Canis lupus familiaris: one gene and its partners. The protein of the gene in region 7 purifies or fractionates together with the protein of the main gene of each other region. This does not show direct contact. Links are inferred from orthologs where the notes say so. Each region holds a gene or a part of one and is shown on either strand. Other genes may lie near its edges.

The links.
Region 1: the proteins of CD2BP2 (region 7) and PPP1CA purify together in Homo sapiens (affinity purification with mass spectrometry; 3 studies listed by BioGRID and IntAct, with this or other methods). This does not show direct contact. The link is inferred for Canis lupus familiaris from reciprocal best matches to the Homo sapiens genes CD2BP2 and PPP1CA.
Region 2: the proteins of CD2BP2 (region 7) and E2F-associated phosphoprotein purify together in Homo sapiens (affinity purification with mass spectrometry; 3 studies listed by BioGRID and IntAct, counting the BioPlex papers as one, with this or other methods). This does not show direct contact. The link is inferred for Canis lupus familiaris from reciprocal best matches to the Homo sapiens genes CD2BP2 and EAPP.
Region 3: the proteins of CD2BP2 (region 7) and EFTUD2 purify together in Homo sapiens (affinity purification with mass spectrometry; 7 studies listed by BioGRID and IntAct, counting the BioPlex papers as one, with this or other methods). This does not show direct contact. The link is inferred for Canis lupus familiaris from reciprocal best matches to the Homo sapiens genes CD2BP2 and EFTUD2.
Region 4: the proteins of CD2BP2 (region 7) and DHX38 purify together in Homo sapiens (affinity purification with mass spectrometry; 3 studies listed by BioGRID and IntAct, counting the BioPlex papers as one, with this or other methods). This does not show direct contact. The link is inferred for Canis lupus familiaris from reciprocal best matches to the Homo sapiens genes CD2BP2 and DHX38.
Region 5: the proteins of CD2BP2 (region 7) and SART1 purify together in Homo sapiens (affinity purification with mass spectrometry; 4 studies listed by BioGRID and IntAct, with this or other methods). This does not show direct contact. The link is inferred for Canis lupus familiaris from reciprocal best matches to the Homo sapiens genes CD2BP2 and SART1.
Region 6: the proteins of CD2BP2 (region 7) and SNRNP200 purify together in Homo sapiens (affinity purification with mass spectrometry; 8 studies listed by BioGRID and IntAct, counting the BioPlex papers as one, with this or other methods). This does not show direct contact. The link is inferred for Canis lupus familiaris from reciprocal best matches to the Homo sapiens genes CD2BP2 and SNRNP200.

What each region holds. Positions count from the first base shown.
Region 1 is NC_049239.1:50,565,131-50,569,404, reverse strand, and holds the start of PPP1CA (serine/threonine-protein phosphatase PP1-alpha catalytic subunit), read right to left. Parts: upstream 2,801-4,274; 5' UTR 2,705-2,800; coding exon 2,650-2,704; intron 2,125-2,649; coding exon 1,993-2,124; intron 1,837-1,992; coding exon 1,606-1,836; intron 1,050-1,605; coding exon 945-1,049; intron 749-944; coding exon 525-748; intron 442-524; coding exon 307-441; intron 230-306; coding exon 119-229; 3' UTR 1-118. Other genes in the region: TBC1D10C (carabin), read left to right, coding at 3,979-4,223. UniProt on the Homo sapiens protein: Protein phosphatase that associates with over 200 regulatory proteins to form highly specific holoenzymes which dephosphorylate hundreds of biological targets.
Region 2 is NC_049229.1:13,537,479-13,540,854, forward strand, and holds the end of E2F-associated phosphoprotein, read right to left. Parts: intron 1,071-3,376; coding exon 794-1,070; 3' UTR 501-793; downstream 1-500. UniProt on the Homo sapiens protein: May play an important role in the fine-tuning of both major E2F1 activities, the regulation of the cell-cycle and the induction of apoptosis. Promotes S-phase entry, and inhibits p14(ARP) expression.
Region 3 is NC_049230.1:18,507,319-18,510,818, reverse strand, and holds part of EFTUD2 (116 kDa U5 small nuclear ribonucleoprotein component), read right to left. Parts: intron 2,146-3,500; coding exon 2,018-2,145; intron 1,164-2,017; coding exon 970-1,163; intron 1-969. UniProt on the Homo sapiens protein: Required for pre-mRNA splicing as component of the spliceosome, including pre-catalytic, catalytic and post-catalytic spliceosomal complexes. Component of the U5 snRNP and the U4/U6-U5 tri-snRNP complex, a building block of the spliceosome.
Region 4 is NC_049226.1:78,391,002-78,395,234, reverse strand, and holds the start of DHX38 (pre-mRNA-splicing factor ATP-dependent RNA helicase PRP16), read right to left. Parts: upstream 2,801-4,233; 5' UTR 2,579-2,800; exon of another isoform or gene 2,451-2,578; intron 181-2,450; 5' UTR 164-180; coding exon 1-163. UniProt on the Homo sapiens protein: Probable ATP-binding RNA helicase. Involved in pre-mRNA splicing as component of the spliceosome.
Region 5 is NC_049239.1:51,813,363-51,817,382, forward strand, and holds the start of SART1 (U4/U6.U5 tri-snRNP-associated protein 1), read right to left. Parts: upstream 2,801-4,020; 5' UTR 2,736-2,800; coding exon 2,423-2,735; intron 2,226-2,422; exon of another isoform or gene 2,128-2,225; intron 645-2,127; coding exon 587-644; intron 204-586; coding exon 148-203; intron 1-147. UniProt on the Homo sapiens protein: Plays a role in mRNA splicing as a component of the U4/U6-U5 tri-snRNP, one of the building blocks of the spliceosome. May also bind to DNA.
Region 6 is NC_049238.1:34,654,953-34,658,452, forward strand, and holds part of SNRNP200 (U5 small nuclear ribonucleoprotein 200 kDa helicase), read left to right. Parts: intron 1-327; coding exon 328-426; intron 427-785; coding exon 786-938; intron 939-1,043; coding exon 1,044-1,143; intron 1,144-1,298; coding exon 1,299-1,435; intron 1,436-2,648; coding exon 2,649-2,732; intron 2,733-2,826; coding exon 2,827-3,000; intron 3,001-3,463; coding exon 3,464-3,500. UniProt on the Homo sapiens protein: Catalyzes the ATP-dependent unwinding of U4/U6 RNA duplices, an essential step in the assembly of a catalytically active spliceosome. Plays a role in pre-mRNA splicing as a core component of precatalytic, catalytic and postcatalytic spliceosomal complexes.
Region 7 is NC_049227.1:17,900,526-17,904,622, reverse strand, and holds the start of CD2BP2 (CD2 antigen cytoplasmic tail-binding protein 2), read right to left. Parts: upstream 2,801-4,097; 5' UTR 2,733-2,800; intron 2,593-2,732; 5' UTR 2,518-2,592; intron 2,409-2,517; 5' UTR 2,263-2,408; exon of another isoform or gene 2,106-2,262; intron 1,975-2,105; exon of another isoform or gene 1,831-1,974; 5' UTR 1,811-1,830; intron 1,728-1,810; 5' UTR 1,702-1,727; coding exon 1,624-1,701; intron 1,385-1,623; coding exon 1,249-1,384; intron 1,126-1,248; coding exon 968-1,125; intron 846-967; coding exon 404-845; intron 323-403; coding exon 213-322; intron 131-212; coding exon 20-130; 3' UTR 1-19. Other genes in the region: sesquipedalian-1-like, read left to right, coding at 3,290-3,898. UniProt on the Homo sapiens protein: Involved in pre-mRNA splicing as component of the U5 snRNP complex that is involved in spliceosome assembly.

The DNA of each region.
Region 1 (4,274 bases), on a different chromosome or scaffold from region 7:
ACACCAAGGCTCCGTGTTCCCCGTGACAGGTGGGCCTGGGGGGCCAGCGTGAACCCCCTATGGCCACGTAATTTCTGTACAAATCCACCATCTGGGGCAGAGTGCGGGCACGCGGAGGCTATTTCTTGGCTTTGGCGGAGTTGCGGGGTGGGGTGATGGGCCGGCCTCCAGGGTTCAAGCCACTGAATTGCCCGTATTTCCCCTTGTTCTTGTCAGCGGGCTTGAGTATCTAAAAAAGACAAGAGCTGGTCAAACTCATGGGCTAAGCCACAGGGTCACCAGCCCCCCTCCTTCCCCCATCCCAACCTGGAAGGAGCACATGAGTGTCTCATCCACACTCATCATGGCGCCTGCATTGTCAAACTCGCCACAGTAGTTGGGAGCCGAGAAGAGAGTCACCAGCTGCCGCTTGGCAAAGAATTCATAGCCATCTTCTACCACCTGGATGAGGATGGGGGCAGTTTGTTCAGCAGGTGCTGGCTACCCAGGCCCCACTCCCACCCGCCCCAGAGCTGCCAGCCCACCTGGTGTGCCCGGCAGATGAGGTCCAAGTCGTGCTTGTGCAGGAATTTGGCCACTACCTCAGCCCCAAAGGTAAAGGAGACACCACGGTCATTCTCGCCCCAGCCCTGCACGTCCTTGTCAGGGTCAGACCACAGCAGGTCGCACAGCAGGCCCTGGTCCGGCACGTCTGTAGGCCGCATGATACGCCGAATCTGCTCCATGGACTGCAGGTCTGGGGACAGGCCTGGGGGAGGGCAGGTTACTTGCTTAAGCCTCAAAACAAAGAGTGACATGCAAACCAAGACCACTGGGAGAGGTCTTCCAGGTGACGGGGAAGACATCCTCCAGCTAACAGCCTCATCCCAGGGCTCCCCGGGATGTGGCCCAGGGCTCTTCCTTCCCAAAGAACCCTTCAACATGTACCCTAGAGCCACTCTCACCTCCATGGCAGCAGAAGATCTTCTCATCCACGATGGCAGCAATGGGCAGGCAGTTGAAGCAGTCAGTAAAGGTCTTCCACAGTTTAATATTGTAGCGTCTCTTGCCTGCTGGGAGGAAGGAGATGCCTCATGAGGCCTATCTGCCCCACAGCCAGCCTGGGTCTTGAGGCCCTCCAGACACAGCTGGGAGAAGAGAATGGCAGACAAGAAGAGAATCCCCCCTCCCCCGACTCCGCTGCCTACCAGCCTTCCAGGAATTCTAAAGCAGCTAGGTCCAGAGGAACCTGAGTTCCAATCCGAAACAACCCACCCGCACCCAGTGAGCAGGGCCAGGCCAAGACTAGGCCTGGTTTATCTCAGCTTCTGGTTGGTAGGATCCAGTCCAAATAGGCATCCCAAGTGCCTAATGGATGTCCTGGAGGGGAGTGTCATGAGGCAGGGCCCTGCATTAGAACATGGGCAGTCCTCAGCAGTCACTCCCCAGACCCCTCCTGCGTGCCGGCCCCACGGCAGGAGGGCAGGCAGAGAGGCACCAACTGGTGTGCACCCTTCGCAGAGCTCGCGGTCTGTGGGTAGTGGTCAGACACCAATTCCCCTACTGCCAGGCCTATGTGAGGGTCTCCCCGAAAAGGGAAGTCACTTAAGGACTTGGGCTACTCACACTCATCGTAGAAGCCATAGATGCGGTTGATGCTAGCACACTCATGGTTCCCACGGAGCAGGAAGAAGTTTTCGGGGTACTTGATCTTATAGGCCAGCAGCAAGCAGATGGTTTCCAAAGACTGCTTGCCCCGGTCCACGTAGTCCCCCAGGAAGAGGTAGTTGCTCTCTGGAGGGAAGCCACCATACTCGAAGAGCCGCAGAAGGTCGTAGTACTGGCCATGGATGTCACCTGTAACCCAGGGAACCGGTTCAGCGCTAGGTGCAGGGGCTACACTTGAACCCAGGGCCAAGTTCGGGCTCCAGGGAGCAGCAATGCAAGGACTGGGCGGGGTGAAGTGGGGATTCCACTTTCAGAAAGCCAAAGGGATCTGGGCAGCAGACTCACCGCAGATCTTGAGGGGTGCCTCCAGCTCCAAAAGAATGGGCTGGCTCAGGAAAATCTCCCGTGATTTGAGGCACAGACCACGGATCTCGTTCTCTGTTAGCTGTACATTCTTTCCAGGCCGCGAGCCCTGCACTGTGGGAGGAATGGGGTGTCAAGACTCTGGTCCCTCAGGCAGGAGGAAGGTGGGCGACACAAGTGGCCCTATGGGCACATCTGAGGGCGCCTGGGCCTCCTAGGCCCCTCCCTGCCTAGGGGCAGCTGTTGCTGGTGAGCCTCCCAGGACCTCCGCCTCTGGCCTCCCAGGATGGGACCCCCTCGAGGGGGTGTGCTGTGCGCGGGGGCCTGCCACCCAACACCCCACCCATAGCGCAGGACCCCTGGGAGGGGTGGAGCTAGGCTTCTTAGGTTTCTCCCTCACTCCCAATAGCGCAGGCCAACCCGTGCGCCCCCCGCCCAGGAGGGGGGCTGCTCCCCGTGCCAGAGCGTCCCCGGAACCCCCCTCCCCCGGCGCGCCGCGACTCGGGGGGCGGCTGTGGCCACGGGACCTTGCGGCCCGTCCCCGCCCAGTCTAAGCTGGCCCGGGGAGGGGCAGGCCCGCCCGCGCACCACTTCCGGGCCAGGGCGCGGCGGGCACCGACCTCCCCGGCCCCGGCCAACCTTCCAGCAGGCGCCCGATGATGGAGTCCAGGTTGAGCTTCTCACTGTCGGACATGGCGGCGCCGCCGCTCCGCCCCAGCAGCTCCGGGCCCGCTCCTGCCGCCCTCCCTCCCGCCCGCTGCCTCCTTCCGGCCTGGCGCTCCTTCCGCCCGCCCCGGCCCGCCCCGGCCTGCCGCCCCGCCTCCCCGGCCCGCCGCCCCGCCCTGCGCGCTGCCCCCGCGCTCTAGCGCTCCCGCCGGACACCGCGCGCAGCGGCCGCGGCGGCCCGGGGGGCGGGGCATAGGGGACGGGGCGGGGCTCGGGCTGAGCTCGGCCGTCGGGACGGAGCCCGGCCGGTGGGTGGAGCTCGGAGGGCGGGGTCGAGTCTGGTCCCGCCCCCGAGGAGTTACCCGAGTCCAGTTCCGAGAATATGGGGCCGGAAGTGCTGTGGGAGTTGTTTGTCTCTGTCAGACGCTAACCCACCCCCTGGGCGGGAGCGTGGTATGAGCACATTAATAACCGATGCTCCAGACACTGCGGATCAAGTCCTCGAAGTGCAGAAAAGGAAACGGAGACTCAAGAGATAGCAGGGGGGTGGGTTGGTCCAAAACCCTGGCCTCACATTCACGGGGGGCCTCCACCTCCTGAGTCTCTGCGGCCCTCAAGGCAGCTGGCCAGACCCAGGCACCTGCCGCGGCGCTCTGAACCCATCTTGGTCCACGCTGTGCTGCACGCTGAACTAATTTTTGTAAGTTCCGTTATTGCCTGCTGAGTGCATAATAACGCTGCGTTAGGTATATATTCAAAGCATTACTTGTAAAGAGCAAATATTAAATAAACGAGAATTCTCACTGGAATCTTGAATTGTTTTAACCTCAAAACTGGAGGGGCCTGGCCTCTGTAACTCGGGTGGGTCCTGGACTGGTCACACCCTGCTCTGGAGCCCAAGCCTGCAGCCACCCAGCCCATGGGGAGGGTGGGAGGAGCCCACGGTCCTGGGGGCACTGGGGCAGGCCGGAAGAGCCTCAGAGAGGAAGAGGTGACCCCCCCACACACTTGGGAGGGGAGTGTGGGAGGGGCCCCCCAGCCGGTGGCTGAAGCTGCTGAGAAGGAGGAAGTGAGAGGAGGAGGTGAGGTGCAGCAGGGAGGTAAGCTGGCCTGGGGGGGCAGGGGCTGGGCCTGGGGACCAGCCTCTACACAGAGGTCTGGCTTTTCTGCCATTTCAAGGCTCACTCTCACCCTCACCCTCCCACCCCGATAAAAGAGGGGACAGAGGGGGCTTGGTGAGATGCCCTGAAGTCTGTGCCCTCTGAACCCTGCAGCCAGGTCCCCGGGCTGGGGACCGGCTGGATGGGAGCTCAGGCCCCAGGCTGGTCAGAAGCTGCCTCTCACACTGGCTTTCCCCACATCTTGCAGCCTGTGGTAGCTTGGGTCTGGGGCACCATGGCCCAGGCCCTGGGGGAGGACCTGGTACAACCTTTCGAGCTGCAGGATGACTCAAGCTCTTTGGGGTCCGACTCAGAGCTGAGTGGGCCTGGCCCATATCGCCAGGCTGATCGCTATGGCTTCATTGGGGGCAGCTCAGCAGAGCCAGGGTAAGTGGGGAAGGGATGAGGGGCAGTGGGGTGCTGGGAGTGAGGATGGGG
Region 2 (3,376 bases), on a different chromosome or scaffold from region 7:
GCGCCCTGGGCCAAAGGCAGGAGCTAAACCGCTGCGCCACCCAGGGATCCCAGATTTTTATATTATTAATAGCAAAATAGAAGAGAAAAAAAAAAAAGGAAAAGGAAAAACAATACCTTGGTTGCTGGCAGTAGAAATTCCAGAACAAATGAGGGCAAAAGAGGCAGCAACAGGAGTTTGAAGTCTAAGTGCAGAGGGTGAGGTTCTTTTCCTTCACCATAAATTTGTATTTACTGTGTTAATTCACTAAGTTTAGAATACTGTTACTACACAATCCTTTTAGGGAAAGACCTGTATCAATTACTCAGAGCACCTGGCAATATTAACTCCACATAATTGTAACAGTTACTAAATACTGTCACTCCATTCTATGGGGTAGAAAATAAATAAAGATACTTCTTAGCAAAAACAATATGGACAGAAGCCAGGAAATAGTTTCTAGTTTAATAATACCACAACTATATCCAAAATAAAAAATAAAAATAACACTGAATCAAAGATTACTTATAACTGCAGAACATTTTAATTCTAAAGAGCTTTAATACATGAAAAGCCCCATAGTTTCCAAATGCCCATCAAAGAGGGAATGAATTATCAGTCCCATCAGAGCTGGGGGAAAAATTTTTAAAGGGGGTGGAGGGATGAAGGCTGACAACCATTCTCTTTCAAAAAGATAAACACTGTATCCTCAGATAACCGCTCAGAATGTTACTTGATATGAATAGGCAAGAGGGTAATAACTGTCCGTGTTTGCCTTATACTGTATTGGGCAATTAAATGCCAACTGAACTATTCAAGAATGACTTGCTAAAACGTTGAAAAAATGAAAGACTTCGTCCTTGTCATAGACGGCCACTTCCGTGGAACATTCGGTGCACATAACGGGGTGATAGATCTCTTCTGCTTGTGCCTCTGTCTGCTCTGCAGCGTCTTCGTGGTTAGACCTCATCTTCTTATGGCCTCGCCTTTTCTTCCTGTTCTCTGGGATTTTGTATCTTAGAACCTCCTCTTTGTTGACAGAACAATTCATCACAAACATTGCTCTATACTGAGTTTTGTATGATTCATGCCTAAGAAGAAAATGAGATGGAGAATTTGGATTTATGTTCAATTTTAATAGGTTATCCATCCAGATTTTAAGATTTTATTGAAGAAATTAGCTGACACAGTGTTACATTAGTTTCAGCTGTACAATTCAGTGATTCAAGAAGTTTACACTAATTATGCTATACTCACTGGAGGAGAGCTATCTTCTGTCAACATACAATGCTGTTACAGTATCATTGTATTTTACCCCCAGGACTTATTCACTCCTTACCCAGGAGCCTGTGTCTCCCACTCCCCTTCACTCATTTTGGCCATCCCCTACCTTGCTCCCCTCTGGCAATCATCAGTTTATTCTCTGTAATTAAGGGTTTGTTTCTGCTTTTTTGTCTGTTTATTCAATTGTTTTGTTTTTTAGATTCTATATATAAGTGAAATCATACAGTATTTGTCTTTCTCTTATTTCACTTAGTGTAACACCCTTTAGGTCTATCCATGTTGTCACAAATGGCAAGATCTCATCCTTTTTATGGCGAAGTAATACTCTACTGCATATATATAACTATTCTCTCTTTATTCATCAAAACACACTTGTTTCCCTATCTTGGCTATTGTAAATAATACAATACACACAAGTGTGCATATATCTTTTTTAATTATGGTTTTTGTTTTCTTTGGATAAATAGTAGTGGAATTACAACATAGGTTATTTCCATTTTTAATTTTTTGAGGACTCTCCATACTGTTTCCCACAGTGGCTGCACCAATTTACATCCGGACCAACAGTGCACAAAAGTTCCCTTTTCTCCACATCTTCACCAACACTTTTTATTTCACATCTTTTTTTTTAGCCATTATGGCAAGTGTAAGATGACACTTCACTGTGGTTTTGAGTGCATTTCCCTGATAATCAATGATGTTGAGCATCTTTTCATTTATCTGTTGGACATCTATCTATATGTCTACTTTGGAAAAATGTCTATTTAAAAAAAAAGGAGGGATCCCTGGGTGGCACAGCGGTTTGGCACCTGCCTTTGGCCCAGGGCGTGATCCTGGAGACCCGGGATCGAATCCCACGTCGGGCTCCTGATGCATGGAGCCTGCTTCTCCCTCAGCCTGTGTCTCTGCCTCTCTCTCTCTCTCTATCATAAATAAAAATTAAAAAATTTAAAAAAAAAAGAAAATCTAAAAAAAAAAAAGGAAAAATGTCTATTCAGTACTCTGCCCATTTTAATCAGATTATTTGGTTTTTTTGGTGTTGCATTGTATCAGTTCTTTTTATATTTTGGTTTTAATTCCTTATAGATAGGTCATTTGCAAATATGTTCTCCCATTCAGTGAGTTCTCTTTTCATTTTGTTTTTTTTTTATTCTTTTTAAAGATTTTATTTATTTATTCATAGAGACACACAGAGAGAGAGGCAGAGACACAGGCAGAGGGAGAAGCAGGCTCCATGCAGAGAGCCTGACATGGGACTCGATCCAGGGTGTCCAGGATCACGCCCTGGGCTGCAGGCGGTGCTAAACCACTGTGTCACCGGGGCTGCCCTCTCTTTTCATTTTGTTGATGGTTTCCTTCACCATGCAAAAGATTTTTATTTTGGTGTAGTCTCAATAGTTTTTATTTCCCCTTGCCTTAGGAAACATATCTAGAAAAATGTTGCTATGGTCAATGTCAAAGAAACTATTGCCTGTTTTCTTCTAGGAGCTTTATGGTTTCAAGTCTCACATTTAGGTCCTAATCAATTTTGAGTTTATTTTTGTGTATGGTGCTAGAAAGTAGTCCAGTTTTCCCAGAATCATTTATCGAAGAGACTCTTTTTCCCCCATTGTATATTCTTGCCTCTCCATATAGTTTTTTTTTTTTTAATATTTTATTTATTTATTCATGAGAGAGACAGAGAGCGAGGCAGAGACACGGGCAGAGGGAGAAGCAGGTTCCCTATGGGGAGCCCGATGCAGAACTCGATCTTAGGACCCTGGGATCACAACCCGAGCCAAAGGCAGATGCTCAAATGCTGAGCCACCCAGGCGCCCTGCCTCTCCAGATAGTTAAAATTGAGAACACAAAAAACTTACTAAAATACAACATTGCATTCTCATGAAAAACATAAGAACAAAATGGGAAATTTAAAGAAATGTTAAGAATAGGAAAAACTTGTTAACAGAGAATAGTTTAAAGAATGAATATATCCTCTTTTCCACTACTTTAGAAGTAACTTTTATCTCTGAAAAAAAAAAATTGTTTGCTCTTCAAACTTAGAAAAGTTACTGGAAACTTGAGAGTTAATGTTTAAACGATCTTCGACTGTGTCTTTCACACTGAGGCCTAC
Region 3 (3,500 bases), on a different chromosome or scaffold from region 7:
ACACTCAACCAACTGAGCCACTCAGGCGCCCTCTATACTTACAATAAAGAAAGCTAAAAGGAGAAAATACTAAGTAAATAATAAGATAAAGAAAATACGTTTATAGAACTATAGTGTATTTATTGGAAAAAAAAAAAAAAAACACCTCACAAACATATTAAAATGGACCCATGTAGTTCAAACCTGTGTTATTAAAGGGCCAACTGGAGATACAAATTAATTAATTAGCCCATGACAGAAAAACGCATGGTATTGTAAGAGGACAAAGAGGAAAACTGAATTCCAGTTGGATACTAGTGGTAAGCAAGGCACTGCGCCCAAGGGGTAGAATGTAAGGAGATGCCAAAAGCATCACAGAAAACACTGTGACTGTCCTAGCTCATCAATCTTCTGCCTTCTAGGGAACGAGTGAATCTGGAGTGGGGGAAGGGGCTGGGGGCCAGGTGCAGCAGGCAACGTCAGGAACACAACTTCCTGCACTCTGCTTGCTGGCTGAGAAGCCAAACTTATGAACTCATGAGCAGCCCAGAGGTTCAAGCTAAGTCTGATTCTGCAGATGGGGAAGCTACAAGATATCCAGCAAAATCTTCTATCTTGGTCAAAGAATAGTCAGTGGAGGCTGGGAGACAATTTCGTTTGGGAAGAAACACAAAGGTTATGACTTAGGAACACAGAAGAGGAAGAGGATTAAGAGTAAAAATAGAAATCCTGCTACAAAGTTTATACAAGCCTTCAAAATGTGAAGGCAAGGCTCTTGGCATTATCCCAATAGTAGTTGCCTTTTGGCCCTAGCAACTCTGGGTAGTAAGAAGTAGAAGTCAACAGATGTGAGGGAGAATGGGCTGATCTCCTGCTGTAGGGGGGGCCATGAAGCTGCTGTGCTTCCAGGGAGGACCACTTCTCCCAGCTCCTGTGGCAGCTCCAGTAATAAGGCCAAGGCATACCTCTACAGGTGATGGTTGGCATTACCTGGCTACGGAGATCCAAAGACGGCCCACAGTGCATATCTGGGAGTCCTCCTCATCTTCCAGGGTGTAGTTCTCCCCCAGGACCTTCACGGGCTGCCCAGCGTGGATGGTGCCACTCAGTACCCGGCCAAAGGCATGAAACTGGACTCCATCATCTGTGCTGTACATCTTGGTAGTGTGGCACATCAGAGGACCCTGGAGGTGGGGACAGAGCATAGGCTCAACCACACATATTCCCAGGGTAAATGCCATGGTCTCCACCTCCCTTGACAGCAATGACATGGGCTCTGTGAAAAGCCCAGACCTAGAGGAAGATGCGTCAATCTCCTGGGAAATTCCAAGCCATGCCCTACCCCCTGCTTAGTATATAGATGTCACAGGCATAGTAAAAAAACCTCTTTTCCTGTTCTCTAGGGAGATGTGGGCAATGGCGAAGAAAAGCAGGTTTAGGATGCCAGACTGGCACTGCATTACAGTACAAGGTTATAAGACATGCTTGCCTCACATTCCCTCTGAAAACATAACTCACAATTTTCAACTGGTTGTATGTTTATGCTGAGAAACTAGACTAAGGAATGACTGGGAAAGACTTTTATTTTTTAAGTAAGCTGAACGCTCAATGTGGGACTTGAACTCATGACTCAGAGATCATGCTCTACTGATGGAGACAGTCAGGTACCCCTGGGAAAGATGTTTTTTAAAGCCCAAGACTGACGAGGTCAGCTACACTTGTTGAATCTTTACTAGTTTAGGTACCATGCTGAACAACTATAATACTTTCCCTATCTCATTCAATTCTTATAACAACCACATACATATTTTAATCCTCATTTTATAGACCACGACTCTTAGAAAGATTAAATAATGTTCCCCAAATCATACCACTAGAAGTGGTAACACCAGGCTTTGAATTCAGGTCTGTTTGACGTTGCTCATGGGGAGTGAGTGAAAAGCAAGGATGGAAAGACGGCATTATTCTTATGACCAGAAAACAGGGGACTCATACAGGAGGGGACAAAAATCAAGAGAAATGGTGGGCTTTCCCTTACGTCAGGGTCACAGTCGCTCATGGCCTCGCCGAGATCAGAATCTACACCACCAGTGTAGGTATGCTCAATCTTGGGCTTGGCGCCCACCTTTGGAGAGGGGATATGCTGCACACACATGTCCACAAAGCCTGTGGAAGGAGAAGAGCAAGCCATTACTATACACTCTCACAGGAGTAAGTGAGCGGCTTGAGGTACGGATCTACTTGTGATTTCCAGAAAGCTAAAACTGAAAAGACTGATTTTCAGCTCTTCAAGTTATAGCACCATGAGCTCAGAGGGCAGTACTATCTTACTTTCCTGGGAGTATGTTCTAAAAGATGTCACACTGAGGCCAGGGAGGAGCAAGAAGCAGGGCTCAGTGGTTGCTTGGAACTCAGCTGACAAAAATTTTCAAGTATCTCTATGAATCTATAATCTTATTTTTTTTTAAAGATTTTATTTATTTATTCATGAGAGACACACACAGAGAGAGGGAAAGAGGCAGAGACACATGCAGAGAGAGAAGCAGGCTCCATGCAGGGAGCCTGACGCAGGACTCAATCCCGGGACTCCAGGATCATGCCCTGGGCCCAAAGCAGGTGCTAAACCGCTGAGCCACCTAGGGATCCCTGAATCTATGATTTTTTATTGAATATGAGCACTTACACTAAATTAAATAAATATTTCATCTCTTCAGATCTACTCAGAACAATCCCTGAACGGATTCTTTCCCTTTGGGAAAGATTGCACACGTTTCTATTCTACACATGTATCTGTTTCGTTTCGTTTCGTTTCGTTTTTCTTTTCTTTTCTTTTTCTTTCTTTCTTTCTTTCTTCTTTCTTTCTTTCTTTCTTTCTTTCTTTCTTTCTTTCTTTCTTTCTTTCTTTTTCTTCTTTTCTTTTCTTTTCTTTCCTTTCTCTTTCTCTTTCTTTTCTTTCTTTCTTTCTCTCTCTCTCTTTTTTTTTAAAGATTTTATTTATTTATTCATAGAGACACAGAGAGAAAGAGGCAGAGACACAGGCAGAGGGAGAAGCAGGCTCCATGCAGGGAGCCCGACGTGGGACTGGATCCTAGGTCTCCAGGATCACACCCCAGGCTGCAGGTGGCGCCAAACTGCTGCGCCACCAGGGCTGCCCTGTATCTGTTTTTCTAATGGCTAATGAGCCATGCAAGAGAGGATGACCTCCATTAGTACCTGGGGGAAGGCAGATCTGTTTTCAGTTGGTATCTCCTGGTCAGACTGATGGCCACCCAGGATGTACTACTACTAGAATAATAATGATAATAATAGTAAAAGTAATTTTTACAATAATAATTATTATCATTATTATAGATTTTATTTATTTATTTATTCATGAGAGACAGAGAAGCAGAGACACAGGCAGAGGGAGGAGAAGCAGGCTTCATGCAAGAAGCCTGATGCAGGACTCGATGCCGGCAATCTGGGATCAGACCCTGAGCCAAAGGCAGACGCTCAACCGCTGAGCCACCCACATGTCCCCA
Region 4 (4,233 bases), on a different chromosome or scaffold from region 7:
CTAACAAGTCCAGTCCCAGCAATGAAGGGCGGGGGGCAGGAGCCTTGAAGACATGCTGCTCACTGGCTGCACTTTTGGTCTTGCAAATAAGACCGCCAACCTGAGAGTCCAGATCAGTGCCTTCTAATCGATGGATCGAGGCATCCTCGCTGGTGTCCTCCATGACAGGCTCTGGGATGTCTGTGGAAGGAAGTCAACCTATTTTGTACTGGATGTAAAAGGAGAAAAGGTTTGACTCCACTGTATCCCAAGATAACTACAGTTATAAGTATATTCAGGGGGGGTGACCTCTCCATCAAGACCAGGCTTTGTTTAGCTACCTCTTGCCAAGACCTTTCCATTAAGTCAATTACAATCTCAAAAGATCCTGATCCCCACTCCTACACACATCAGAAATACACACACACACACAAAGACTCTCTCTCTCTTTCTCTCTCTCATCCACCAAATATCAGGATCCAAGAGGGTATCATCCAGGCAAAAACAGACCTCACTAAAGGGCACTTATCAGAACATGACGGCATATAGAAAAGGACTCTAGGGGGAAACACCACTAGATTTTAAGTCAGAATCCTCAATTAGAGAGCAAGCTTTTGACAATTTCTACTTCTGTGATTGTAAGCAGATAAGTTGGTATTTGGTTAGGCATAATTTCTATATTTGAAAAAATAGAAATACTTTTTCCTTTATCTATTCCATGGAAGTATCCTAAGAATCAAATACAAAAGTGTGTGAAAGCTCTCTGTAACCATAAAGTGTTACATAAAGGTAAGTGTTACATTATTTTATTTGCTGTGCTCCTATAAACTGTTGGGGCTCAACATTTTTCTTTTTTTTTTTTTTAATTTTTATTTATTTATGATAGTCACAGAGAGAGAGAGAGGCAGAGACATAGGCAGAGGGAGAAGCAGGCTCCATGCACCGGGAGCCCGACGTGGGATTCGATCCCGGGTCTCCAGGATCGCGCCCTGGGCCAAAGGCAGGCGCTAAACCGCTGCGCCACCCAGGGGGATCAATATTTTTCTACGGAGTTCTTTTGCCTGTCTCTCCCTTTAAACTACAGATAGAGCAGAGTAGTCACATTGGGGTATAAGGCTACCAACCATGTGATCCACACATGAAAGACTTTTCGGGGACCAGTTGTGTTTTGGAGAAAAGAATTACCTCACAGCAGTTGAAATCTGTTTAAAGACAATCCACGTTCACCAAAAATATTGATGAGAAACACTAGGTAATGAAATGGTGTTCCTGAAAAGTATTAAGGCGATTGTAAGATTTTCCCACACAACTTGTAACAAACTCCTCTTTACCTCCCATTACACACCAACAACTTATAAACACACGTGCCTGGATAATTCTCCTTTCAGCAAGTCAGTGAGGCAAAGGAACTGTTAAGGTGTAGGGTACCACCAGAATCCAGAATGTTTTTGCCCAGCTCTAATTAACAGGCGCCGCTCTAACAGGGAAATATCGCCAAACAGACTGGACGCATAATACGAACAAAGACACGAGGGCTGCATCTTGGAAAATGCCATCAGGTAGAAGAGGAGGGAGAGAGCTGCATATTGATGACGTCTGTGTGCAGGTGAGGAAATCTAAATAGGAAGGTAAACACATGTATGTTCTGCTCACCAGTAGTCTGAACTCGAAAATAAGTCCTATACTGTGAAAAAGAGAACCTTGTCTGTCTTGCTGTTGCTGTACCCAGTGCCTGGCAAAATTAAACATTTGATGAATAAATGGGTGAATGAATTTAAACTGATTCGTGGAGAACAGGAAGCCCCACGTTTCTAGAGACAGCAAAGGAACGTATCAACAGCCCAGGATCAAGGCATCTGAGGAGACCTAATTAGCTGCTGAGAACAAGCAGGAGTTAAGGGGCTGGGTTCTGGGGAATGATTAATGACAAAGAAGCCACAGAGAATACAACAACAACAACAAAAAAAACCCAATTCAGAACAACTAGATTTACTCATTCAACAATTTTTCCCTGACTGCCTTCTGTGAGCCAGTCGCTGTTCTGGGCAAGAGGAAAAGAACAGAACAGAGAACAAAACAGACCAAACTCCTCGCCTCTTGGAGTCGACACTGTGGTAGAGGAGATCGCCTAGTGAAGACACACTGTGACAGAGGCGAGAAGACACAGCCGCCCGGCGTGTGGCGGCGTCGGCCGGGGAGGGGGCTAATGCAGGGGGCTGAGGCAGGGTGCGGGGGAGCCCCCGGGCAGCATCCCTGCACCTCCGGCCAGGAAGCGGGATCCGACCGGATCGAGGAGGAAGGATGGGGCCAGCCGCACCGGCGCAGCATCCCTACGGTGAGAAAGGCAAGCTGGGTGACAGGGATGGGACTTCGCAAACCCGGGCTGGAACCTGAAGGAACGACCCATATCCGCCGCTTGGAGCTGCCATGATTGGCGAAGGGCAGGCCAGGAAGGAAGAAGGGGCACTCACCTCACCAAGCCCGCCTCTCAGAACCTTCCGTCCCAGATTCTGGGGCGCCGGCACCACCACCCCTCACTCAGACAGCCTCACAGACCCAAACCCAAACCGCGAACGCGGCCATCACTGTCCCATAATACCTTGCGCGGTCCCCTCTATCCATCCGAAGATACCATCGAGGAAAGACCGGAAAACGCCGGTTCCCCGCTCCAAGTGTGGGACAGAAAGCGACCAAGCGCTCAAGGCTAGAGTGTCCTCCTCTGGGACTCTGATTCGAAGACACTTCCGAGTCTCGTCACGACCAATCACAGCCTAAAAGGCGAGACAAGACGGAGGGTGAGGGCAGAAGGTCGGTCATGTTTAATAAGGGCGGAAGTGACTCCATAGCTTCCGGTCAAAGCCCGGCAAAGTGGGCAATGACTCGGATAACCCCCTGTTGATGGTCTGTTGAGGACCGCGAGTTCATCTACTGCGCCTGTGCGTTTCCTTCTTCCGCTCCCGCCTTCTTAAGCGGGGCTCTGGGAGCCGCTGGGCCGGAGCGCCTGGGTTGCGGTGCGTTAAGGCGGCTGCGTTGACGTGGGAGGAGCCGCCGACGTCCTGACTTTTTTGGACAGGAGGCCAAGGTGGCGGACGCCGCTGAAGCGGAAGAGCGAGAGGTGACCTGGACAAATGAGGTGAGTATCGTCCGCCCTAGCAGTTGGCGGCCAGGAGCAGCCCGCCCAGAGGCGTTGCTGATGTATGTATGTCTGTGTTTCTCGAAGATTTTGGAAGAAGAAAGATGCTCACTCCGATGTAATTAAGAATCACCTGCTGTCTGTTCGGTCGCAGAGATGACCGCTGATGGTGTTGGGGGATATGGACCTCCAGTTGGTTTTCCACGCACACGTAGAATGCGTGTGCAGTATTGTGTTGCACCACAACGGGGTCACGCTCTGTAGTCTGTTTTATGACTTCTTCACGGTGGGAACGTTTCGGGATCTGAGAAGTTCATTCGTAGCACGGTATTCTGTGGCTGTGTAATGACGGTAGCTTGCAGGACTGTATTAGCCTTTATTTTTCCAGTTTGTTTGTTTATTTGTTTATTTTTCCAATCCCCCTACTTTGGGCCATGCAGGTTATTTTCAGTTTTTTTTGTTTTTGTTTGTTTTGTTTTGTTTTGTTTTTTACCATCAAGAACAGTGATGTTTTCTACGTAAATCTTTTGTGGACGTGTCGAATTAGTTCTCAGAAGAAGTATCGTTGCTCAGGGTGTTTCCTTCCTAGAAAAGTTTTGCTTCTCTGCATTCCAGCGGGGACTATGAAATGCGTGTCCATTCGCACTTTGCATTACTGTTTTCATCTTTACCAGCTTAATGGCTTTGTCAAGTAATCTTCCAAGCTGCTGTTCTTTGGTTACCAGTAAAGTGTAACTTTCCAAATACTTTTGTCCGTTTGTATGTCTTTTGTGAAGTCTCTGTTGGTATCCTTCGCTATGAGCATTTTCTTAGGGGTGGCATCAGTTTTCCTGTCTTCATTCCAACATTTATCCAGTCCTCTCACCCTGGTAGACAGCTTTGCCCCCCCCCACACCTCCTCCTATAAGTAATGTACTGAAGGTGCTGTTTGAATTCTTGTAGGATAGATCCATCCTTTCCTTGACTTTCCCTTTCATCAGTAATTTGTTCTGCCACAGACATCTGATAAAGTCCCTTCTGGTGGTCAGCTTGCGTAGTTAAAGTATGACACTATGGGAACAGTTTCATTCCCTATATGAATTGTTATTCATTAATATCTTGAAATGTGACTTATCACACAC
Region 5 (4,020 bases), on a different chromosome or scaffold from region 7:
GTGTGTACACACACACATACACACACATGGCCACTAAATGGTGCTGAACCTGTGCCATAACCCCATCCTCCTCAAAGACCCCTTCAGATGATCTTTCTCCTCCACCCAAATGCCCTCCCTCACCCCCATCCTCAGTCCCACACTCACCCTTCTTGACAGCATTGACTTCCAAGGGTTTCAGCCCCAACTTTGCCCGGAGTTTACTGAGGACAAGAGATACACATGTTAGGAGCTGCCAACAAAATAGGGACATCAGAGACATTTCTGGATAGAGAGTGAAAACAGGATGGAACTGAGAAGTCCTAAGGGTCCCCAAAGCAGAGACTGACCCAGGCAGCCAAGGACATTGGGAAGGATGCTGGCCTCCAAATCAGGGAACACAGGCACTAGGCCTGGCCTGCCCCTAACCAGCAGAAGACCATCTTTCTCTTGGGTCTTAGCGTCTTTTCTGTAACTCAAATGGTTATACGTCATTTCCAATTCCAGTCAGAATGCCTTAGTGTGTGAATGGTCCCCCAGGAAACTGTTCCCAGAAGCCCTCTGTCTCAGAAAATAAAAGTAGAAACATCAGGAAGACAGAACTTACTTGGTCTCCTCGATGCTAAGAGATGAGGCATCTCCTGAGCTACTTTTGGAGCTGGCAGCTGGAACAAGAAGTATAGTTCAGGAGCTGAACAAAGGGCCAACAAACCACATCTTTGGCTCGAGCTCTGCAGGGACCTCCCTTACCCATACCCGGGCCCTACTGAGACACTCGAAAACAGCAACCTTCCTCCATCTCAGTAGCTCCTTCCATCTCAGTCCCAATCTCTTGAGACCCCAACATAACCTTCCTTTCCTGCCCCAAAAGGTCCAACCTTTTTGCAGCCTTCACTCTGCCTCCTCTCCACTTCTGTACATTCTGTTTTCAGCCCACACTGCCCTCCTTGGCCTAACTCTGATAGACGAGATCCTATCCAAATGCTGAGACCAAATGCCACCTCCTTCTGAACTCCTATTTAATTATTGGTCAGAATGAACTGCTCTCTCCTGAACTCCACAGCTCATCACTCACTTCCAGGTCTGTTTCTCCCCACTGGTCAGGGACTGTGTTAGCAGCATGACTGTGTTCTCTGCGCAGTTCATCCAGTCAAGAAATACACTTAATGGTCCCTGTTTTGCGATGGATAGTGAGGATGCTGAGATAAAGTAGCTTTTCAGACTTCCTCTACTCATCTCTCACTCAGCAAGTAACTTCGGAACACAACACACAGACAGAGGCTAGACGCCACCAGATGGAGCTTCCCCACCCAGGTGCTACCACCTGTTCATCCTTCCTGCGTCCCCACTCCATAACCTACCTCTTCCCCTATACCTCACCTGGACCCTGGATCTCAACCTTTCTAGGCTCTCTCCAAGGTCACCAGCCTCCTTATTTCTAAATCCAACGGATTCTTTTCAGCTCGAATTTCCTTTATTTTCTGTGGTGTGTGTGACACCATTGACTATTCTTTGCAACAGACCCCATGACACAAGATTCTATAGTTTTCTTTTCTGGATATTGTACCATCAAGCATTCTTATAGCCTCTTACTCTACCTACTACGAAAATGCTGGCATTTTTAAGGTTCTACTGCCCACTCCTTACTCTCTCGCCAGGCTTCATTTGCCACCTGATTTACTTATGACTTCCAAATTGCTCTATCCAGCCCAAACCCTATCGGTTGCAATGCTCTCCACAACTGAACTCTCTCCCCTCAAAAGTCTGCTTCTCTCCCAAAGTCCTCAATTTCAGGAGACACAACCACCCACCCAGTTGCTCAAACCAAAATTTAAGGAGCCATCCTCATTTCCTTCTTACCCTCACCCAAGTGCTAAGTAAGCTCTAATTCCTCCTCCCAAACGGTTCTTCAATCTGTTCAGGTCTCTCCACCCTCCGCTGCCTCAGCACACGCCACTATCAATCCTCACGTGGCCTCCAGTCTTGACTATTTTTGAACCAGGTCTCAATCTAGGAATCTTTGCAAAATATGATCAACTCATTCCTCAGCTTAAATCCATGGCTCTCTACCACCCTCAAGACAAAATTCAAATTTCTGTAGGGCCCTTTGTGCTCCGACCGGTTTCCTATCTCTGCTATGAACCCTACCCGGTTTGCCCAATATCAGGTTTCTTCTTGGTTCTGCACGAGCTAGAACAACTTCATTGATTCATTCACTCAACAAATAAGGGCCTGTGAGGGGCCAATTTTGAGACAACAGAAAACCTCTGCCCTCGCAGAGGTTAGTAGAGAGAGACAACTTTTAATCCCAAACGGGGAGACTCTCTAATAATTGCTGACGGAGACAGCGTCGGGGAGCCGGGGCGGCAGCGCTCGGCTCGCACCCAGGCCAGACCGCCCGCCCCGGGACGCCCCGCCCCGCCCCCACAGGCCCCGCCCTCACCGGCCTCGTAGCCGTCATCGCGCTTCTCCCGCTTCACGCGCCGCTCTGAGGGCTCAGCCTGGCCGCGCTCCCGCCCGTGCGCGCCGCTGCGTGTCTCGGCTTCGGTCCCGCGCCGCCCGCCCCCGCGCTCGCCCCCACGCTCCCGACTCCGCTTCCGACGTTCGCCACCGCTGCTCCCGCCACCGCCGCTCCGGTGCTTGTGTTTTTTGTGCTCCCGGTGCCGCGGCGGCTGCTCGGTGGCGCCTCCGGTGCTGGCCGCCGCCGTCGTCCCGGCCGCCTCTTTCTCCCCACGGTGCTTCTTTGACGACCCCATGGTGGTACGTCCGCCCCGAGCCCGGCCGCCGCCGAGCCCCGACGACGCAAAATGGGACTACTTCCGGGTCGCCCGGCAGCCGCTGTCGTGTTGCCGGAAACCAAGAGTGGCTGCTTCCGCCGTTCGCCTCGGTGCCTGCCCCGAGGGCTCACGGGAAGGCCGGGGTTGGAGCCCGGCTGCGTGTTTGCGGAGCTGTTGGTCTGGTGGCGGTCTTCGAAGTGCGTGCGTGCGCCGGGTGTAGGGGTTACAGGCCTCCGAACTATAAGCCCTTAAAGCCGGCAATCTGGGAGCTGGAGGCGCCCCCCCCCCCGCCACCAGACGCTCCCTGCCTCACGGGTTTACCGGTTTTACCGTGCACCGCGCCCGCCGCTCCAGTCGGCGTCCTCCCGGTGGGCTCCACCCGCCCCCGCCCCCTCGTCGTGGCTCCATCGGGTGTGGGACGCCGCAGCTTGTTTTGAGACCCAGCCCAGCCTCTGAGCCCCTACACCCGATATTATCAAATGCTGCCTTTCCACCTTACTCGTATTGGGTTCTTTTTTCCTTGTCTTTTGTTTCTTTTTTTTTAAGATCTACTTATTTGAGAGAGCGCGTAAGCGGGAGCGGCAAGGAGAGGGAGACAAGGGCCAGCTGAACCCTGAGATCGTACCTGAGCCGAAACCAAGAGTGGGAGACGCCACCCAGGCACCCCCCTCACCTTGGATTGGGTTTTTAAATCTGTACTTTGAACCCCCAGAAACTGCAAAATTCCACACAGCACGACTGGGTATGTGAGCTCATTCCCACCCCCCTCCTTGGGGGCCCAAATTTGAAGTTACTTAGAAGTTAAAATCCCAAGGCGCATGGGTGGCTCAGTAGTTGAGCGTCTGCCTCTGGCTCAGGTCGTAATCCCGGACCCAGTTCCTGTCGGGCTCCCCAGAGGGAGCCTGCTTCTCCCTTTGGCTACATCTCTGTGTGTCTCATGAATAAACAAAGTCTTTTAAAAAGTAAAATCGCAATTCACATAATTCCTCCTCTGACCCGCAACCCCCAGTTGCTGGGACTGGCGGCCCCTGTGCAAACCACTGGTTACAGTGTAAGATACGTACCCCTTTAAGGATCCAAACCTCCTCCCCTCCCACCCTGAGTTCTCAAAGGCAGAGGCCATTAGGTCCTGTTCCCTCTTGAATTCCTAGGACCCAGCATAAATGTTGGAAATGGGAGTGGAGGAGTCACAGCTGTTGCTCTGTGAGATGATCCACTCAGGAGCAGAAGCAGAGCTGTGTGTGCTGGTGGGGGCAGCTCCACA
Region 6 (3,500 bases), on a different chromosome or scaffold from region 7:
CATCATTTATCGATTGTACACATATGAGAGAGACTGTGATCCAGTTGGTTGTCATTGTGGCAGCCTAAGAGGAGAAGCAGAAGAGAGAGTAAAAGCATCTAATGAATACTTGCCAAGTGGACTTAGAGTAATGAGGTCATTTATTACATGTACTCTGGATCTGTTGGTCTCCCTATCACCAGTACCAATAAGCTATTGGTCTCCCCACCACCAGTACCAGAGCCATTGCTCTAACCATGGAACTAATTTTAAGGGACTCGGGAGAGGTTCTCTGTTGATGTTAGGATCACCTCCAAATCATGAGCTGGGGTTGGGTTGTTTCTGTAGGAAGGTGATGAAGATGTCTATGGGGAAGTTCGAGAAGAGGCATCTGATGATGACATGGAAGGGGATGAGGCTGTTGTGCGCTGCACTCTTTCGGCTAATGTAAGTACAGCTTGTTCTCGCCCATTGCTGCAAGGCTAGGGGATTTCTGGGTGTAGCATTTGTTTTCTCCTGCATAGGTCCTGTTGCATATTACTGAGCTGGCCTTTAATAGGAGTCATTAGACATTCAGCGTCTTGATTTTCTTAAGATTTCAATCACTCATTTTCCTTCCCAAAGGCATGTGTTGAAATGTTAGTTTGGTATGCTCCTGAATTTATTATAAGGGTTTTTTAAATTCTGGAAAGTCCTCAAAGACTGGTAGACTCTGGTGGCAAGAGGAACTCTGTTGCAGGGTGATGAGTAAGCAGTTGGGGCCAATGGAGATGTGGCGTAAGCTAAGTACCTGGTTACTTCTGTAGCTTGTGGCCTCAGGGGAACTGATGAGTTCCAAGAAGAAGGATTTGCACCCTCGGGATATTGATGCATTTTGGCTACAGCGGCAGCTCAGTCGATTCTATGATGATGCCATTGTGTCACAGAAGAAGGCAGATGAAGTGTTGGAGATTCTGAAGGTATGGCCAAGATGTTTTGTGTTCATCATATGTATCTTAGCAGTGGGGACAGCGTATGAAGCAGATGGCTGCATCCTTAATCATGGCATTACCTTCTCTCTGTAGACAGCCAGTGATGATCGGGAATGTGAAAACCAGCTGGTTCTGCTCCTTGGTTTCAACACTTTCGATTTTATTAAAGTGTTGCGACAGCACAGGATGATGAGTGAGTATATAGTCCCTTTGGGAGCTCATTCGTGGTATATGTGCTTGCTTGTGTGATGGGGACTCTTATTTTTATAGCTTCAGTGCCTGTTTCAGTGAGCTTGCTTTCTACACAAACCCCTCCTTTTCATCTTCCCCTTCTTTTGCTGTTGTTAGTTTTATATTGCACCTTACTGGCCAGTGCACAGAGTGAGGCAGAAAAGGAAAGGATCATGGGAAAGATGGAAGCTGATCCAGAGCTCTCCAAGTTCCTCTACCAGCTCCATGAGACTGAGAAGGAGGATCTGATCCGGGTAAGGGCTGGGTTAGTTTATCTGTCTGATTCCCGAACTAGAATATTTGCTTTGGAAAAGAGACACCATTTGTAAGAGTATAGCGTTGAGGCACTTGGGTGGCTCAGTTGGTTGAGTGTCCGACTCTTGATTTCGGCTCAGGTCATGATCCCCAGATTCGTGAGATTGAGCTCCATGTCAGGCTCTAAACTGAGTGTGGCGTCTGCTTGGGATTCTCTTTCTTCCTTGTCCCTCTCCCACTCATGTGCACTCTTGCCCTTTCTTAAGAAAATTGTAGCATAAAGCTGAATTCATAGTAGAAGTGAAGGTTTGAAGAAGTAAAGTATTTCTCTGAATTCTTTGAGGTTTGTCCCTAGTACAGATTAGAGTTAACACACTCAGAGTGCTGTGGTCAAGAGACTGCTAGCCTGTTGCTGTCTTCAACAGCACCATGGGCCCATCACATGGGCCCTTGACACAATAAGTAATGGTATGTACTGAAAATGCAGGGATAGAACACATATGTTGGCTGAACATAGAACCTACACTTCTATCTTTAGGGTTAGCCCTTGGTGCTGAATTGTTGAACATCTACTTTTGAAATCCCTGTGCTATGCATTGTCCTCTTTTTTAAGAGGAAAGTTTTTTTTTTTTTTTTTTTTTTTAAGATTTTATTCATTTGAAAGAATATGTATACATGTGGGGAGAGGGGCAGAGGGAGAAGGACAAGAGACTCCCTGCTGAGCGGGGAGCTTGATGCGGGCCCCTGTCTCAGGAACCTGAGACCACGACTTGACCCGAAGTCAGATGCCTGACTGAGCCACCCAGGTGCCCCTGCATTGCCCCTTTACTTTTTTTATTTTAATTAAAAAAATATTTATTTATTAATGAGAGACACAGAGAGAGAGGCAGAGACACAGGCAGAGGGAGAAGCAGGCTCCATGCAAGGAGCCCATTGTGGGGCTCGAACCTGGGAATCCGGGATCACGCCCTGATCCAAAGGCAAGCACTTAACTGCTGAGCCACTCAGGTGTCCCCGTTGTCCCTTTAAAACTGCTTGCTTCCATCATTCTGGTGGTCCCGATGGCAGATGTCTGAACATAAAGGACGGTCTTTCTAGTTTGGGACTTACTGGTCAGCACCCATGAGTCAAGCTTAGTTAAGCAGAGACCAAAAGGGACCAGAACCTTCAATGGTGATGGATTGTTATTCTTTGGGCCTTTCTCTGTTACAGGAGGAAAGGTCCCGGAGAGAGCGAGTGCGTCAGTCCCGGATGGACACAGACTTGGAAACCATGGATCTGGACCAGGGTGGAGAGGTAGGTCTTGGGTTCATTTCCAAGGTGGTGCTAGATGGAAAAAGCTCATTTGTTCACCTTGCTCACTTTGGGTTTTTGTTTTTCATACTCCTAGGCACTGGCTCCACGGCAGGTTCTGGACTTGGAGGACCTGGTTTTTACCCAGGGGAGCCACTTCATGGCCAATAAACGTTGTCAGCTTCCTGATGGGTCCTTCCGGCGCCAGCGCAAGGGCTATGAAGAGGTGCATGTGCCTGCTCTGAAGCCCAAGCCCTTTGGTTCCGAAGAAGTGAGTGAATTGCTTTTCTCCATTTTCTTTGTTTTCACTTCTCTTCCAGTTTGGATTTCAACCCATTGGCCAAAATGTGATCTTGCTTCATAGTTTTTCCCTGATGTGGAAGCTGTTTCAGAGTTTTCCCACTTTGTGAGCCTAGGGGACAGTGGAGAGTGACACAGGGAGGGTGCCAGGAAGTGCAGTCCTGGCTGTCCCACAAAAACAGCTTGCTCAAGGATGCTGCCAGCAGAATGTGAATGGCATTTTTCTCTCTCTCTCATTCATTCATTCATTCATTTTTAAAGATTTTATTTATTTATTCATGAGAGATACAGAAGGAGAGAGGCAGAGAGAGAAGCAGGCTCCATGCAGGTTGCCCAGTGCGGGACTCGATCCTGGAACTCCAGGATCATGCTCCGAGCTGAAGGCAGTCGCTCAACCGCTGAGCCACCCAGGCATCCTTGTTTCTCTCTTTTAGCAACTGCTTCCAGTGGAGAAGCTCCCGAAGTATGCCC
Region 7 (4,097 bases):
AACTGGGCCCTCAGCAGACTCAGGTGTAGAGGTCAAAGTCAATGCGTTTGGAGTTGTAGAACTGTCCACCGGGAGGGTCCAGCTTCCGGCAATAAACACCATCTGCGAAGTAGCCTTCGTTCACCCAGGTCTGCAGGAAAGGAAAGCAGAGCTGGGGAAAGACTCATGGGAGAAGGGAAGGGGGGTAGTGGTAGAAGCAGGAAAGGGCTTACCTGCATCTGGGTGCTGGTGAAGGGCCCATACAGCTCAGCATCCCCTGTGTTCTCCCACTTATATTCCCACATCACGTCCACCAGACCATCATCTCCTTTCAATTCTGCTTCTAAAACAACAGGCAAAGCCATCTGGCCCTCAAGTGCCCTACCTCCTGCCCCAACACCCCTCCTCTGCCTTCTGATCTTACCTCCCCTCTGTGTGGGGGTTGGGGTCTCCAGCTCCCCCTCTGCCACTTCCTCAGCAAACATGTCCAGAGAGGGTGGGGGTGTGGGGTCAGGGGGTCCCTGAGTCCGGGACCCCAACCCCTTCAGCCGCATGGCTAACCGTTCCCTTGTCTCCTGATATACACCGAGGTTGCCCCGGGCCACCATCTGGTCAGCCAACCCAGAGAGCCGATCCAAGCGCTGAGGGGAACTAGGCCGCCCAGCCCCCTTGCTGCCCCCTTTGCCACCTCCTCCTCCTCGGGCCCCCAGACGCCTCAGTGCCCCGGCCACTGTCTCTCTGGGTAACAGCAGCTCCAGAAGGCCCTCCAGGAGGGCTTGGGCACTCATTGGTGTCTGGCCCAGGCTGTCTTCTTCCTCTGAGTCTGAAGGTGGGCGCTGATCAGGTGGCCGCTCCTTGATCTTCACCTGTGATATGAAAACGGGGTGGGGGGGGGGGGGTCGGTTATCTCTTACAAACCGTGAGCAGGGCACAAGCCCAGCACTTGCTGCCTCCAGGTCCCCAGCCAAAGTCAACCCCTGGGCCACACCCAGTCAATGTTGTCCAGCCAGCTATCTCGGATCTGAGCATCCCGGTTCAGAAAGTAATTGCCATCAGCATCAAAGTGGCCTTCCTCCATCTCTTCCTGCAGGTTGAAAGGTGTGATCCGCACACCTCCCTCACTGGGGAGTGTGGCTGCTTCCTGACCTGCACCAAAGACACAGGTGGCCCAGGCTGAGCAAGCAAAAACAGACAAGAGCCTTCTCCACCCCATATCCCGTGAAACCCCATCTGTTCCTCCAGCAGCAACAATTCTTGGGTTTAGCTCACCTTCCACATCCTCTGAGGCCAGGATGTCGTATTTGCTGGACCCCTCATCATCATCATCCTCCTCATCACTGTCCAAAGAGTGTTTGCCTTTGAAGCGGCTCCCAGGACCCCCTGCCCCAGCCACAGGATCCACCAGCTGTGAGGAGCCAGCAAGTTGAGAGATGCAGGTTTGCGGCTATTCCTCAAAGTACTCTAGGAAGGTTTTTCTTCAAAGCTTTCTCAGACTGAAAATTCTCCAAACCCATTTCCCAGAGAACATGGAAAAAGCGAGACCTTTCACCGCTTTATCCCCACCAGCTTTCTTTCTCTTCTAGCCTCCAGTTCCTTCTCCCTGCCCTCACTCCTCCCCAGAATACAGGAGTCTGGCCACCTCACCTTCTTCTTGGGGACACTGATTTCATCCTCATCATCCTCATCTCCTACGCCTTGGAAGGTCACTTTCCTCTTTGGCATGCCTGCACAGAGGGGCCTTCGCCAAGCTGAGCGAGGGAAAGGGTGCAGATTAAGGGAACTGGGCGAGGCTACTCACCGCCGAAGGGCCGCCAGCACAACAAATAATCACCTGGTACGCACTAGATCCAGCTTGGGAAGAGAGGGTGCAGAGTCAGGGGCCGAAAGGGAAGTCGGCCGCCAGGAGGCCCCGGGGACTTGGTTTGGTCCAAAAGAGTTGCTGGTGCGGGGCCGGAGAGGCGGACGCGCGGAGGGGCTTCCCACGGGCAACCCCCACCCTTGACGAAAGGAGACAGACCCCCCACACATGCCCCCCCATTCCTGGCCCCCGCAGTCCTGGGTGCGACGAGGCTCTGAGGGCTGACACCGGCTCCTACACCCCCAGCTCCCTCAGAGCCCGCGGGGCCCGGGCGGACCCAGGACCTGGCGTCCTGGCCGACCCCCTCTTCCCCGCGCCGAACTCCCGGCTCCGAGGGGTGACCCCCAACTGTCCCGGGCTAAGTGTACAAATCAGAGGGGCGGCAGAACCGCGAGGATTCCAGGACCCCACCGGCGCGCGCTCACCTAAAGATCGACGGGAGGCCGGCGGGGAAGGAAAAAGAGAGCTGCTTTCCCCACGGCTACGTCCGGGGCAGCGGCCGCCATCACCCGGAAGGGAACTGCGGAAGGCGCTGGAGAAGGCCGGAAGTGGCTTCACTCGGGGTAGGGGACTAAGTGGAGAAGCGGGCGGAAGTACACAGTGAGCGGGAAACACCTCCCCGCCCAACCCAGAGTGACGTGATCAGTGTGGGGCGACAATGGCGAGAACAGGGGACGTACGAACGCCTAGGCCCCGATCAGACGAGAGAGATGGCCGGATGCGGTTTCGATTCCCTCCGACAGCAGTCAGAGGCTCTGGGGAGAAAGCAGAGCGCACTCTACTTAAAGGGGCGCCCAGGACCATGATGGAGGAGCAAAGTGGGACAATGGCCCGTTTCCCTTTCCATAGTTGAATCACTTTCCCCAGGGTTGCCCAAGGGCTTTGCGCCCCTCACCAGAATCTTCTTGGAAACCCTTCCTTTCCACTCAGCGTCCAGTCCAGTCCACTCCTACCCCGAGGTGCGGCCCTGCTCTTTTCCCCGAGGCAAGACCCGGTTCTGATGGCCAGCCTGGAGGCCCGGGGTGGTTCCGGGGCACTTGCCGAACACAGGTCTCTTTAGGACCCGGGGGAAGTCATTTACCCGACACCTATCCCCTGGGGAGTTCCTGGTTTGAGAGGTGGGAAGAGCCGTCTCGGAAAGGTGACGGTGGTACCTGTGTCCAGTACCCAGGCCGAAGTTTCTTGTGCCCTGATTTCAGGTAGGCCTGGAAAAGGGCAACAGTGCGTCTCTCCAACTACAGGCGCAAGCAAATAGGGGTCCAGGCCAGCGGCCCCTGCCCAGGGTCTGTAAACTAGCCCAAAGGGGAGAACTGTAGGTGGGAGGTGTCGGCCCCAGTGCTGGGGGGGGGGGGGGGGAGCAAGACCTGTACTCTTGAGGACACTCTTAAATCCCACTAGGCTAGGACCAGCTCTCTCTCCTGCCCCCAAGGTCTACTCCCAGATTGGACTACCATGAAACTGCACCAGAAATCCGTACTCAATTTCTTCCGTGGATACAGAAAAGCTCCAGACCGCGAGGGCATCTTGCTGAAGAAAGGAGCCCGAAATATCAGCTATCAACGCCGCTGGTTCATCCTCCGGGGAAACCTCCTCTTCTACCTGGAGAACCAGGCGGACCACACACCCCTGGGCCTCATTCTCTTGGAAAACTGTCGGGTGGAGCCACGCCTTGGGGCCACAGAACCCTATGCCTTTACCATACTGACCCCTAGGGTTGAGGGAACAGCTGGGCGTGCCTACAAATTGGCAGCAGAAAACCAGGAAGAGCTGGGAGCCTGGCTGTGGGCACTAGCTGGGGCGAGCTGGAGGCGGCTGGTGGCGCTACTACCCCCCCTGGAGGCCCAGTACCGGGAGCTGTGCCAGGCAGCTGGCCAAGAGCCCAGCTCACCCCCAGAGGACTGTGGCTTTCTTGCCACCCTCGGTATCCCCTCCAGCTTCCAGGAATTGCATGAGCACTTTGGAAAGGAGATCCGGGTGCTGCAGGTGGTGCGTAGAGGGCCCCAGGCTAACAATGGGGGCAGCAGATCCCAGGCAAAAGAGGAACAGGAGCTCAGCAGCTGATGAGTGACTGAAAGGTGGACCAAAGGCCAAGAGGTACCCACGTGCCAAGACCAGCCCACAGCTTCGGTAGATGCCTGGATCCTGGCCTGCTCCACTGTTTCCCACCCCCTGCCCAGTCCTTATTCTAACCCCCTCTATCAAATAACAAAGCAGGAGACGGGCCCAGGTACAACAGCAGGTTCTTTTCTGATTCCTCAAA